Linked DNA regions of Macaca fascicularis. The protein of the gene in region 1 binds, or shares a complex with, the protein of each later gene. Links are inferred from orthologs where the notes say so. Each region holds a gene or a part of one and is shown in the gene's direction. Other genes may lie near its edges. The genes, in order: PTPN23, ZFYVE9 and ZFYVE16.

Region 1 (2,993 bases):
CTCGCCTGCTGGCCAGCCCACCCCCAGTCCCCACCTAGTGCCTTCACCTGCTCCATCTCCAGGGCCCGGTTCTGTGCCCCCTCGGCCCCCAGCAGCAGAACCACCCCCTTGCCTGCGCCGAGGCGCTGCAGCTGCAGACCTGCTCTCCTCCAGCCCGGAGAGCCAGCATGGCAGCACTCAGCCTCCTGGGGGTGGGCAGCCCCTGCTGCAGCCCACCAAGGTGGACGCAGCTGAGGGCCGTCGGCCGCAGGCCCTGCGGCTGATTGAGCGGGACCCCTATGAGCATCCTGAGAGGCTGCGGCAGTTGCAGCAGGAGCTGGAGGCCTTTCGGGGCCAGCTGGGGGATGTGGGGGCTCTGGACACTGTCTGGCGGGAACTGCAAGATGCACAGGAACATGATGCCCGAGGCCGTTCCATCGCCATCGCCCGCTGCTACTCACTGAAAAACCGGTACCAGGATGTCATGCCGTACGACAGTAACCGTGTGGTACTGCGCTCAGGCAAGGATGACTACATCAATGCCAGCTGCGTGGAGGGGCTCTCCCCATACTGCCCGCCACTAGTGGCCACCCAGGCCCCACTGCCCGGCACAGCTGCTGACTTCTGGCTCATGGTCCATGAGCAGAAAGTGTCAGTCATTGTCATGCTGGTTTCTGAGGCTGAGATGGAGAAGGTGAGAGGGGCTGGGTGCCCACGAGGGCAGTGTGGGGTGGCAGGGCAGGGGATCCTGGAAAACCAGCCCTGCTTTGGTTTGTCTGTCCCTCAGCAAAAAGTGGCACGCTACTTCCCCACCGAGAGGGGCCAGCCCATGGTGCACGGTGCCCTGAGCCTGGCATTGAGCAGCGTCCGCAGCACTGAAACGCATGTGGAACGTGTGCTGAGCCTGCAGTTCCGAGACCAGAGCCTCAAGCGCTCTCTCGTGCACCTCCACTTCCCCACTTGGCCTGAGTTGTGCGTCCACTGCTCTGGATGGTGGCTGGGGGTCTGGGGTGCTGTCCAGTCCTTGGTGCTGGGAGGGATGAGAGCCTGAGATCAGGTCTGGCTCATAGGCTCTTCCCCACCCCATCCTGTCCCACAGAGGCCTGCCCGACAGCCCCAGCAACTTGCTGCACTTCATCCAGGAGGTGCACGCACATTACCTGCATCAGCGGCCGCTGCACACGCCCATCGTTGTGCACTGCAGGTAGAGGGTGGGCCTGACAGTCTCTATGCGGGCTCTTGGCCTGGCCTCATTCCCCAGCCTCATGCCCCCTTCTTGGCACAGCTCTGGTGTGGGCCGCACGGGAGCCTTTGCGCTGCTCTACGCAGCTGTGCAGGAGGTGGAGGCTGGGAATGGAATCCCTGAGCTGCCTCAACTGGTGCGACGCATGCGGCAGCAGAGGAAGCACATGCTGCAGGAGAAGGTGAGGATCTGGGCAGGTGGGGCTGGGATGGGCCTTCTGTCTCCGGGTGACGGGCCCCTGCCTGGCTGACCTGGCCAAATGCACCTGTGCAGCTGCACCTCCGGTTCTGCTATGAGGCAGTGGTGAGACACGTGGAGCAGGTCCTGCAGCGCCATGGTGTGCCCCCTCCATGCAAACCCTTGGCCAGCGCAAGCATCAGCCAGAAGGTGAGGAAGGTTCCCTGGAAGCTGCTGGGACAGCCACAACCTTGGGACTCCCTCTCCTCACCCACTCTGTCTTCTCAGAACCACCTTCCTCAGGACTCCCAGGACCTGGTCCTCGGTGGGGATGTGCCCATCAGCTCCATCCAGGCCACCATTGCCAAGCTCAGCATCCGGCCTCCTGGGGGATTGGAGTCCCCAGTTGCCAGCTTGCCAGGCCCTGCAGAGCCCCCAGGCCTCCCGCCAGCCAGCCTCCCAGAGTCTACCCCAATCCCATCTTCCTCCCCGCCCCCCCTTTCCTCCCCGCTGCCTGAGGCTCCCCAGCCTAAGGAGGAGCCGCCAGTGCCTGAAGCCCCCAGCTCGGGGCCCCCCTCCTCCTCCCTGGAGCTGCTGGCCTCCTTGACCCCAGAGGCCTTCTCCCTGGATAGCTCCCTGCGGGGCAAGCAGCGGATGAGCAAGCAGAACTTTCTGCAGGCCCATAACGGGCAAGGGCTACGGGCCACCCAGCCCTCTGACGACCCCCTCAGCCTTCTGGATCCACTGTGGACACTCAACAAGACCTGAACAGGTTTCGCCTACCTGGTCCTTACACTACATCTCTCATGCCCACCTGCCCACACCCAGCAGAGCTTCTCAGTGGGCACAGTCTCTTACTCCCATTTCTGCTGCCTTTGGCCTGCCTGGCCCAGTCTGCACCCCTGTGGGGTGGAGATGTACTGCAGGCTCTGGGTCAGGTTCTGCTCCTTTATGAGACCTGACATTTTTCAGCTCTTTGCTATTGAAATAATAAACCACCCTGTTCTGTGGCCCATGTCTGAGTCTGCCCATTGCTGCCTCAGCTCCAGTAGCACTGGCAGGAACTTAGCACCTTTCGTGGATAACAGGATGGTACCAAACTGTTATACTACCAGGACAGTTCTTTAAGGGTCCTGCAGTTCTGGCTTGCTCATCCTCCCCGCTTTGCTACCTGTGCCATGCTGTATGTTTCCTCAGCAGCTCTGAGGAGGGTCCAGGCAGAGTGTGTGCACAAACAATTCCGAGAGAGACAAGTAGCTCCCAAAGTGCCTGACAGATGTGGTTTTTTAAAAAAGTTTAATATTACAGTCAGGAGGCAGCGGCTGGAAGATACTCGGCTCTTTCCCCCAAGTCCAGGTTCAGTGCATTGGCCCCCACACAGCACCCCAGACCCCTGCCTGGGCAGGGAGGCCCCATGCTCAGTCCAGCTTCTCCAGCACGGAGGGCACATACACCAGGCTGAGCTCACTGCCAAAGTTGCAGACAATGGCAGCGTTGTCCAGCACCAGGATCTGGCGGGCAGGCTGGGCCTCACTGTTCTTCCCCAGGTAGACTGTCTGTAACAGGTCCCCGTAGTTTAGGTCCCAAAAGGAGA
Region 2 (4,289 bases), on another chromosome or scaffold:
TACTTACAGCTTTTCCTTAGGTTGGATGTATTTCACATGTAAAATGGTGGTAGCATAGCACCTAATTCATAGAATCACTGCGAGGATGAATCACGGTTTCCCTTAGAGCCCCAGTTTCTCTTGTTATAGAAAGGGTATAGTGATTTTTTTGTGACTCAGGAGTATGTGGCAAAGGCACAGTTAGGATTATACAGGAACAGCTTTCATTAAGAGAGCTACTAGGTGACAGCTTCTCTGTGGTGGCTGCTCAATTATTAAATGAATGATTCCTGTAGTTTCTCATTATTATTTATCATCATTAGGCCATAACCTAAGGTAAGGTGAGATTGCCTTATAACATTTTTTATACATAAAAAATACTGGTTGCATGCTGATATCTGCTGTACAATAGAATGTCATAGGATCCAGTGCATGAGGCTCTATTCTTCTGTAGAGGGGTGTTACATAAACCCATTAGTGAAATTTAGGGAAGTTGCACCCAGACTAGGGAGGATGAAGAATGGAGCATCCATCTTTTGATAGGAATACACTTACACACACACATATACACACACACACACACACACACACACACACAGAGAATGAGAAACAAAAACAGATGAGTACAAAATTGAGCCTAAGAAAAAGAACTGGAACCAATAAAAATTGGAACTAGCATTTATTGAGTATCTTCTATGGGCCAGTCTCTTTATCTCCAATCTGCACAACAACCAGCAAGGCAGGCAGGAGAAAACTGAGGTTCAAAAATGTTACATAACTTGCCCAGGGTCATAAAGCTATAGATGACAGAACTGGAACTGGTAGTGTCAGTATGCGTCTGACACCAAAGTCACTACACATTCTAATATACCACCACTCTGTCAAAAAAGTGTATTTGGAAAATTTGGGGATCAGAGGATTTGGAGAATTATCTTTCCCTACTTCCCCTTTGACAGTCTTGTTTGTTTTTGGTTCTGACGTTTGCACCCTAGAGGCTGATTGGGATCAAATATGGGGCATCTGTAAACAGAATGATTCCATAGCCCCCACTGTGTAATAATTTCCTTCCTTCAGAGCATTACTAGGATTCGGCTGGGATGAGGGGTGGAGGTGGGAGAGAAGAGGTTGGGACGGGGAGGGTGTTAGTAAAAGATGGGTGATTCTTTGCTTACCTTTAAGTTGTTTATGAATTTCAGGACAACCCTTTGGCTATTCTCTTCTCTGGCTGGGCATATATATACATATATATTTTCATATTTGTTTTGTGGGGGTGGTGGTTTAGGTGTTAAGGGTTTGGTTGGTATCTGTAGAAAATTTCTGTAATGATCTACACAGTGGATAAAAAAAAAAAGTTAAGGTCAAAGACAATTCCTTCGTCTGTTTTGGGAGAGGAGTGTGTATATGTTTGAAAAAAAGGTTTGTTCTGGGTCACTCTTCTTTCATCCAGACGCATTAAAGGGATTAGAACGGGGTCTCCCCGCCACCCCCGAAGCCGGGAGAGACAAACGAAGGGATTCCCTTACATTCCTGCTCTCAGGTGCGGGTCCGAGTGACAAGAACGTTCACGTACCTTCGGGAGAGAAGGAAAAGGTGCTCGGGTCTGGCGGGGGGCGGGGAACGTCAAGGGTTTGGTGGGAACTGAGGGGCTTCCGGTTCCCGGGAAGTGGAGTCCCCGGCCGGCCGCGGGCCGCGGGCTGCGCAGGGAGCGCGGGGCCCTCGCCGCCCCCAGGCCGCGCTCCTTAGCGTTCCCTGCGGCTCGTGCCCGGCGCGGCCGCCGCAGTCCCGACGCCGTAGCCGGACGTGGGGTCCAGGGGGCGCTGTGGCCCAGCGGCGCCGGCGGCAGGAGCGGCCACCCGACGCTGGAGGCTTCGCTGAGGATCCTCGCCTGCTGCACCTCGGTCGTCCCGCCGCAGCCTTGCGCCCCCGGCCTGGCTCGGCGGCGCTCCTCCGGGATCCGCGTGGCTGCCGCGGCCCGGGCGCCGATGCGGCTGGGCGGGTGCCGGGCCTTAGCAGCTGTAGCAGTAGCAGCCGCAGCCGCAGCTACCGCAGCTCCTACAGGAGTGGGAGGTTTCGCGGTGGCGCCTGGGGCCGCGCCGGTGCCCTCCGGAGGAGGCTTTCGGCTCAGGGACGACCCCCCTGGCCATGCTGAAGCGCAGGCGGCCGCTGCTCGAGGTGAGTGTGGCGCGGCGCGGTCCGGGGCTCGCCCGCCTCCCGCCGCTTGTGGGGGCCTTGGCGGCAGCCTTCGGGCCGGGCGGACGGGGCGTCCTGCCACTGCGGCCGCCTCCCCCACTCTGCGGTCCTGGGGCCTCAGCCCTTTCTGCCTGCGTCCCCCGGGAGGCTGAAGGCCGTGGGGGGCGACTAGGCCCCGCGCCGTTGGGAAGCCCTCGCCCCGGCCTCGGTTCCGGCGCGGCCCGGTGTGTGGAGCTGGGGGCCGGCAGGAGCACGGCCGCCTTTCGGGTTTGCACGGGCCCGGGCCGAGCGCAGCCTCTTAGCCTGGGCCCTGCACGTACATCCCAGAGGGAGGTAGATGACGCCTGTTTGCAAACAGCTTTGGCTTCCCCGCGTCCCATACCGAGTACCTCAGAATCCCGGTAGTGGCGGGGGAATGGGGAGGAGAAGGCGGCCAGGGTGAGAATTGGGGTGCAGAGAGTGCGGGACCAAGAGAGCCCGTGGTACTCCTGGAGTGTCATTCATGGATCTGACTTGCTCGAGAACAACCTTTTGCGTCTTATTTGAGGTGAAATTTCATCACCTGCCGGTTGCTCAGCCCAGCCTCCTTGTATTGTATCTTGTCTCTAAGCGTGGTCTGCCTTGGAGAAAGCCCCATCGCATCTTTGCGATGCTAAGTTTTCTAGATAAACACTCACAGTTATAAAAACGTCTTTTACAAAGGTCTGTCCTCCCCCCCACCCCCCGCCGCCAGAGGAAATATTTTTATGCTTCAGTGTTCGGTACGAAAATGTTCCACTTAAAGAGATCCAGATAATGGTTGGCAAGAGGATTTTAAGTCCTCTTTAAGTGCCAGCTACTCTAATAAATACCTGAAGGAAATGGGACACATACTAAATTTTAGAAATAAAATGATTTGTTCTGATATTAATGTTGGAAAATGTTAGTACTTACAGTTTGATACCGTAAGTCAGATATTTATGTTTCGTGAGAAATGTGATTACAGGTTATTCCTGGTTTCCTGTTATGTGTGTGAAAGTTATAAGACTTATAGGTACTTGCAAAACTTTTATAATCATGAAAAAATATGCTTTTTGTAGAAAATTTGGAAAGTATGGAAAGGTACCGTGTTGGCTCTTAATAAATAATAATAGGAGAAATCACCCATAATCTCACAGATTGTAAACAGTACAGGTTTATAATGGGCTTGTACTGACAGTGATTTTTAAAATTATTTCTGTATATTAGGTTTAAAATTATCTGACTGCTCCATTTTACATTGCCATTTGTATAGGACCTATAAAAATATTTTACCAAATTACATTGGAACCGTAGTTGAATTCATCAATTGAAACAGAAGAATATGGGTAACTACCTAAAAGATCCCTAACTTAACTTTCTATGCAGCATGGGGTCTCCATGTAGGGAGAAAGTTTGGCATGGTACACGTTTTTGAAGATCTACTGTCTTACATGCTGTAGGCTTGCATTGTTTTTGTCAGATTTTAAGTATTTCTGTTAATTATTGGCTTGATTACCAGTTATTTTGGTAGGTTAATTTAGATTTTTAAAAGTCTAATTCAGGCAAAGTGTGATGGCTAGGCCTACTGGGGAGGCTGAATTGGGAGGACCCCTTGATCCTAGGAGTTCCAGTCCGGCCTGGGCAATGTAAGCAAGATGCCCCCCTCCGAGGCAGGTGGATCACGAGGTCAGAAGTTCGAGACCAGCCTGGCCAATATGGTGAAACCCCGTCTCTACTAAAAATAAAAAAAATTAGCCGGGTGTTGTGGCACGCACCTGTAGCCCCAGCTACTCTGGAGGCTGAGGCATGAAATCATTTGAACCCGGGAGGCAGACGTTGCAGTGAGCCTAGATTGGGCCACTGACTCCAACCTGGGCAACAGAGCGATACTCCATTCGAATACAGTTCGAATTCAGTCGAATACAGTTCTCAGTGTGTCCCTAAAGACCACCAACATTAGAATCAGTTGAGAGTGCTTGTTATATATATAACATAGGTATTATATGTAATATATGGATTCTTGGTCCCTTGAATTGAAATTCTAGGGATGACAATGGCCCAAAGAACTTTATTTTTATCAGTCTCCCTGATTCTTAGGCCTACTGAAGTTTGAGAATCAC
Region 3 (3,532 bases), on another chromosome or scaffold:
GCTGGGATTATAGATGTGAGCCACGGCACCTGGCCTCCCCCACATCCTTATCAAAGAAGTATATAATCAAACTTTTGAACTTGGACAATTTGATAGGTAAAAAATAATACCGCGTTACTATTAATATTATTACTTTTTAAAGAGATGGGGTCTCACTGTGTTTCCCAGGCTGGTCTTGAACTCCTGGGCTCAAGCAATTCTCCTGCCTCGGCCTCCCAAAGTGTTGGGATTATAGGTGTGAGCCACCACGCCTGGCCCCCGGTGTTATTTTAATGCATATTTCTCTTAACAAGGAGTGATAATCATTTTGCATGTAAAAACAATTGGTTTTTCTTTCAACTTTCAGTTCAAATCTGTTAGGAAAATATTTCTAATTTTTTAGGAATAGGAATATTTATTTTCCTAACAGATTTGAACTGAAAGTTCTCTTTCTGACATCCAAGTAACTCTTTCCAACATCCAATATAGATTTTCAAATCAGACTTCATTAGAATAGTTAATCTAAACATGGGTGAGTTCATATGCTGAAGGTTTGCTTTTCTTCAGCCAGGATATGTTTTACTCATAGTTCTCACTGGAAAAGGGGTTTTGTTTTTATCTCACTATTAAAAGCCCTCTTTTCAAGGAAGCACCCACTATTTGTTATTTGAGTAAGCACTGTAAATTTTTTTTTAGCTAAATGTATTAAAATGTAATTTGCACCAATGTTAGAGTCTAATATTAAATATTATTGCAATAACAAATTTGAAATTTAAGTATTTTTAATACCATGGGGTTTTTAATTTAAGTAGTGTCGGCAGTTATTCAAAGCTTAATCCCTCTAATTTGTTTATGTGTTCATTTAGAGGAAACATAAAGTATGACATAGTGGAATTTTATATTTATGATATATGGGGAGGGACAATTATAGTTTATGTAGTAGATAAAAGATACAGGAGAATGTAGAATTTTTAAAATAAATATATCAATATTTTATTTAACATGCTTGAACTGATATTTTAAAATATTTCACTTATTTTATATTCACATTCTGAGCTAGACAAGATTGTTCATTTTCTTATCAAGATGTTTTTTTTTTTCCAGGTTGAATTTCAGGCAGGATCTGAAGGCCAACTTCTGCCTCAGCATTATCTAAATGATCTTGATAGTGCTCTGATACCTGTGATCCATGGTGGGACCTCCAACTCTAGTTTACCATTAGAAATAGAATTAGTGTTTTTCATTATAGAACATCTTTTTTAGTGAAAGAATGTGCCGTATTACATATTGCAACCTGATTTGTTAAAACTAACTCCAGCACTAAAGCTGAAATGCCACAAACACTAAAAGTATAAATATGTCTGATTTTTGAAACACATAAGCTTTACTCTTTAGGCAGGAATGATCTTTTCAAATCATTAGCACAATATTTAAATATCTAAAAATTTAAGAGATCCATACTTTTTGAAGCTTTACAATTAATTTAAGTACTAAAAAGACAAAGATTTCTTCTAAGAAATTTGTAGCATTTACTGTGTTATTTAAATGCTAAGCCAAAGTATCTGCACTTAGGTATACCTCTTTATGCCAATAATGATTTTAATGAGGCTCTTTTCAGATGTAACCTTATGAAGGAAATATCTGTTTTGTGTATATGCCAGTTAGAATACGGGTTTCTAAAGTCTGTCAAAATTGTATTTCAGTGGCACAAAAACCAGTTTCGAGATCTTAGACTTATAATTCTTTGAATAAAGCTGATAACTTATTTGTATAATTGGAGTGGAGACCTACCTCCATAATTAGATAAACTCTTTTTGGATTAAAATCAGAATTTTGCCTTTTTTCTTCTCAAATTATTACATATGTATGTATTATATATCCATATATATATAGTTTTTCCTGATTAAATGGATATTAAAATAATTGTGGGTGCTTCAGGACTTTTTGCTTCTATATTTAAGTATATTGTTTTTATAGCAAGAACATATTCTGAATGTGTTTTATAAATCTTTAATAATTTATATATAGGTAATATTTTTGTATCACAGTGCATTATTTTTTTCCTCCTTTCCTTCCAAAGTATACCACTGTATTTACCACTTCTAAGAGTGACTGACGACAGGCCAGATGACCCTTGAAGTAGTCATTATGTAGCAATAAATGAAGCCTGAAACAGGTTTTTTTACTTCCACTTTAATCCTTAGAAATTTCTTGGCAACTCAGCATATTTTCACTGACACCAATGTATAAGTATAAATTTAAATGAACTAATTACTTTTGCATATTTTAAATTCTTTATATGGTAGTTATTTTTTATAACAGGATATTAACATAAGTTAAATCCTATGTATTTGAAATTGTTACAGAGCTTTCCTCTTCAAACATCAAAAAAGTGGGGGGCATACTGTAGTCCTGTCATTTATGTAAAAAATTTAATCATTATTTTGATGCTTTAAATATTCTTATGTGTAATATGTTTTTGTATCAAAAACACTGATATATTTCAAGAAAAATAAATTATGTTAAATAGCCCTGTTTTAAGAAAAATATTTATGAAGCATCTCAACTTGAAGATCAAGTCAAAGTTATAACTCAGGATCTGAGGTCTCAAGCTAGGAGAGACTGAGAATTTTAATCAGTTTGGGCATATAGTTTGGACTGAATCACATCTGTAGTACTAGCCAAAGACAATTTGGAGGAGAATATCAGCCTTCTGGAAGTAGCTACTTCATGAACAATGTAAAGTGTTGCAGATATTCACTAAAATGACAACCTGTTATAATTTGTGAAATGTATTGAAATGGTGTAAGATGCAAACAATTGCATATCAAACCCAATTTATGTTTTCTTAATATAGTGTGTGTATTCTGCCGTGTAAGTAACTGCACAGTCTTAAAGTAACCAAATGGTAGAGGGCTGTTCCATGATGGAATAGCTTTGGATTTGTTTTCTTAAAATCTCTACATTCAATAAAAATTGGAATTACGTGCCTGAAGTTTGGAGGCACATTTTGAAGTATTCTTTGTAGATATATAGTATGTTTCTGAATGTTACTTATTTGGTCATTGGTACATAATTTGAAATTTTAATTTTTTAAGAGTGAAGAAATAGAATAGTTCTTTGTACTCAGTCTGCAATGATCTATTTTTGGCTTATGTCTTTTAATACTACTCTCTTTCTCTGAATTTTGAAATATGAAGTAAAAGTTAGCCCATCTGTTTTATGCAGCTGTTCAACAAACTTTGTGTGTTTTTATACTTGCTACATGCAGAGCACTTTACCAGGTTTCTAAGCAAAAATTTCTAAAAATGATTAATTGTTCTGGCAGAATTAGACATAGTTCTTTATCAACATTTATGGATTCCATGCCACAAGTAGTATGCGCTTAAGTGCAGAGTATGACAACAAAAAGAGTAGGATTTGGCCATGTAGGAACAAAGATTCAATTGTGGGAAATTTCCTGTTTCTGAAAATTGCATGCTTGGATATTTACATCATGTTCCTGTTGAAAACAATTCCTGATTAAAATACAAGAATAATCTTAAAACATCAA

Evidence for each region.
Region 2: the proteins of PTPN23 (region 1) and ZFYVE9 are in contact, whole or in part, in a crystal structure (PDB 5MJY), measured with the Homo sapiens proteins. The link is inferred for Macaca fascicularis from reciprocal best matches to the Homo sapiens genes PTPN23 and ZFYVE9. Residues at the interface, in NP_056281.1 of Homo sapiens: Phe62, His125, Glu137, Lys141, Val142, Cys144, Thr145, His146, Gln148, Cys149, Leu189, Lys192, Ser193, Asp196, Arg198, Lys199, Leu202, Arg205, Ile206, Ala336, Leu338, Leu342, Asp348, Ala350, Val351; in NP_004790.2 of Homo sapiens: Glu2, Tyr4, Phe5, Gln6, Glu8, Ala9, Leu12, Asp13, Val15, Leu16, Asp17, Phe19, Glu20.
Region 3: the proteins of PTPN23 (region 1) and ZFYVE16 are in contact, whole or in part, in a crystal structure (PDB 5MK0), measured with the Homo sapiens proteins. The link is inferred for Macaca fascicularis from reciprocal best matches to the Homo sapiens genes PTPN23 and ZFYVE16. Residues at the interface, in NP_056281.1 of Homo sapiens: Phe62, His125, Glu137, Glu138, Lys141, Val142, Cys144, Thr145, His146, Gln148, Cys149, Leu189, Lys192, Ser193, Asp196, Arg198, Lys199, Phe201, Leu202, Arg205, Ile206, Ala336, Leu338, Leu342, Asp348, Ala350, Val351; in NP_001098721.2 of Homo sapiens: Asp2, Tyr4, Phe5, Ala8, Val9, Leu12, Asp13, Leu15, Leu16, Asp17, Phe19, Glu20, Gln21.

What each region holds. Positions count from the first base shown.
Region 1 is NC_088376.1:110,332,306-110,335,298, forward strand, and holds the end of PTPN23 (tyrosine-protein phosphatase non-receptor type 23), read left to right. Parts: coding exon 1-673; intron 674-766; coding exon 767-951; intron 952-1,078; coding exon 1,079-1,183; intron 1,184-1,264; coding exon 1,265-1,403; intron 1,404-1,495; coding exon 1,496-1,609; intron 1,610-1,687; coding exon 1,688-2,167; 3' UTR 2,168-2,414; downstream 2,415-2,993. Other genes in the region: SCAP (sterol regulatory element-binding protein cleavage-activating protein), read right to left, coding at 2,818-2,993. UniProt on the Homo sapiens protein: Plays a role in sorting of endocytic ubiquitinated cargos into multivesicular bodies (MVBs) via its interaction with the ESCRT-I complex (endosomal sorting complex required for transport I), and possibly also other ESCRT complexes.
Region 2 is NC_088375.1:182,581,332-182,585,620, reverse strand, and holds the start of ZFYVE9 (zinc finger FYVE domain-containing protein 9), read left to right. Parts: upstream 1-1,406; 5' UTR 1,407-1,549; coding exon of another isoform or gene 1,550-2,403; intron 2,404-2,551; coding exon of another isoform or gene 2,552-2,669; intron 2,670-4,289. Other genes in the region: uncharacterized protein, read right to left, coding at 1,265-1,306, 1,550-2,403, 2,552-2,669. UniProt on the Homo sapiens protein: Early endosomal protein that functions to recruit SMAD2/SMAD3 to intracellular membranes and to the TGF-beta receptor.
Region 3 is NC_088380.1:84,416,516-84,420,047, forward strand, and holds the end of ZFYVE16 (zinc finger FYVE domain-containing protein 16), read left to right. Parts: exon of another isoform or gene 1-93; intron 94-1,083; coding exon 1,084-1,242; 3' UTR 1,243-2,974; downstream 2,975-3,532.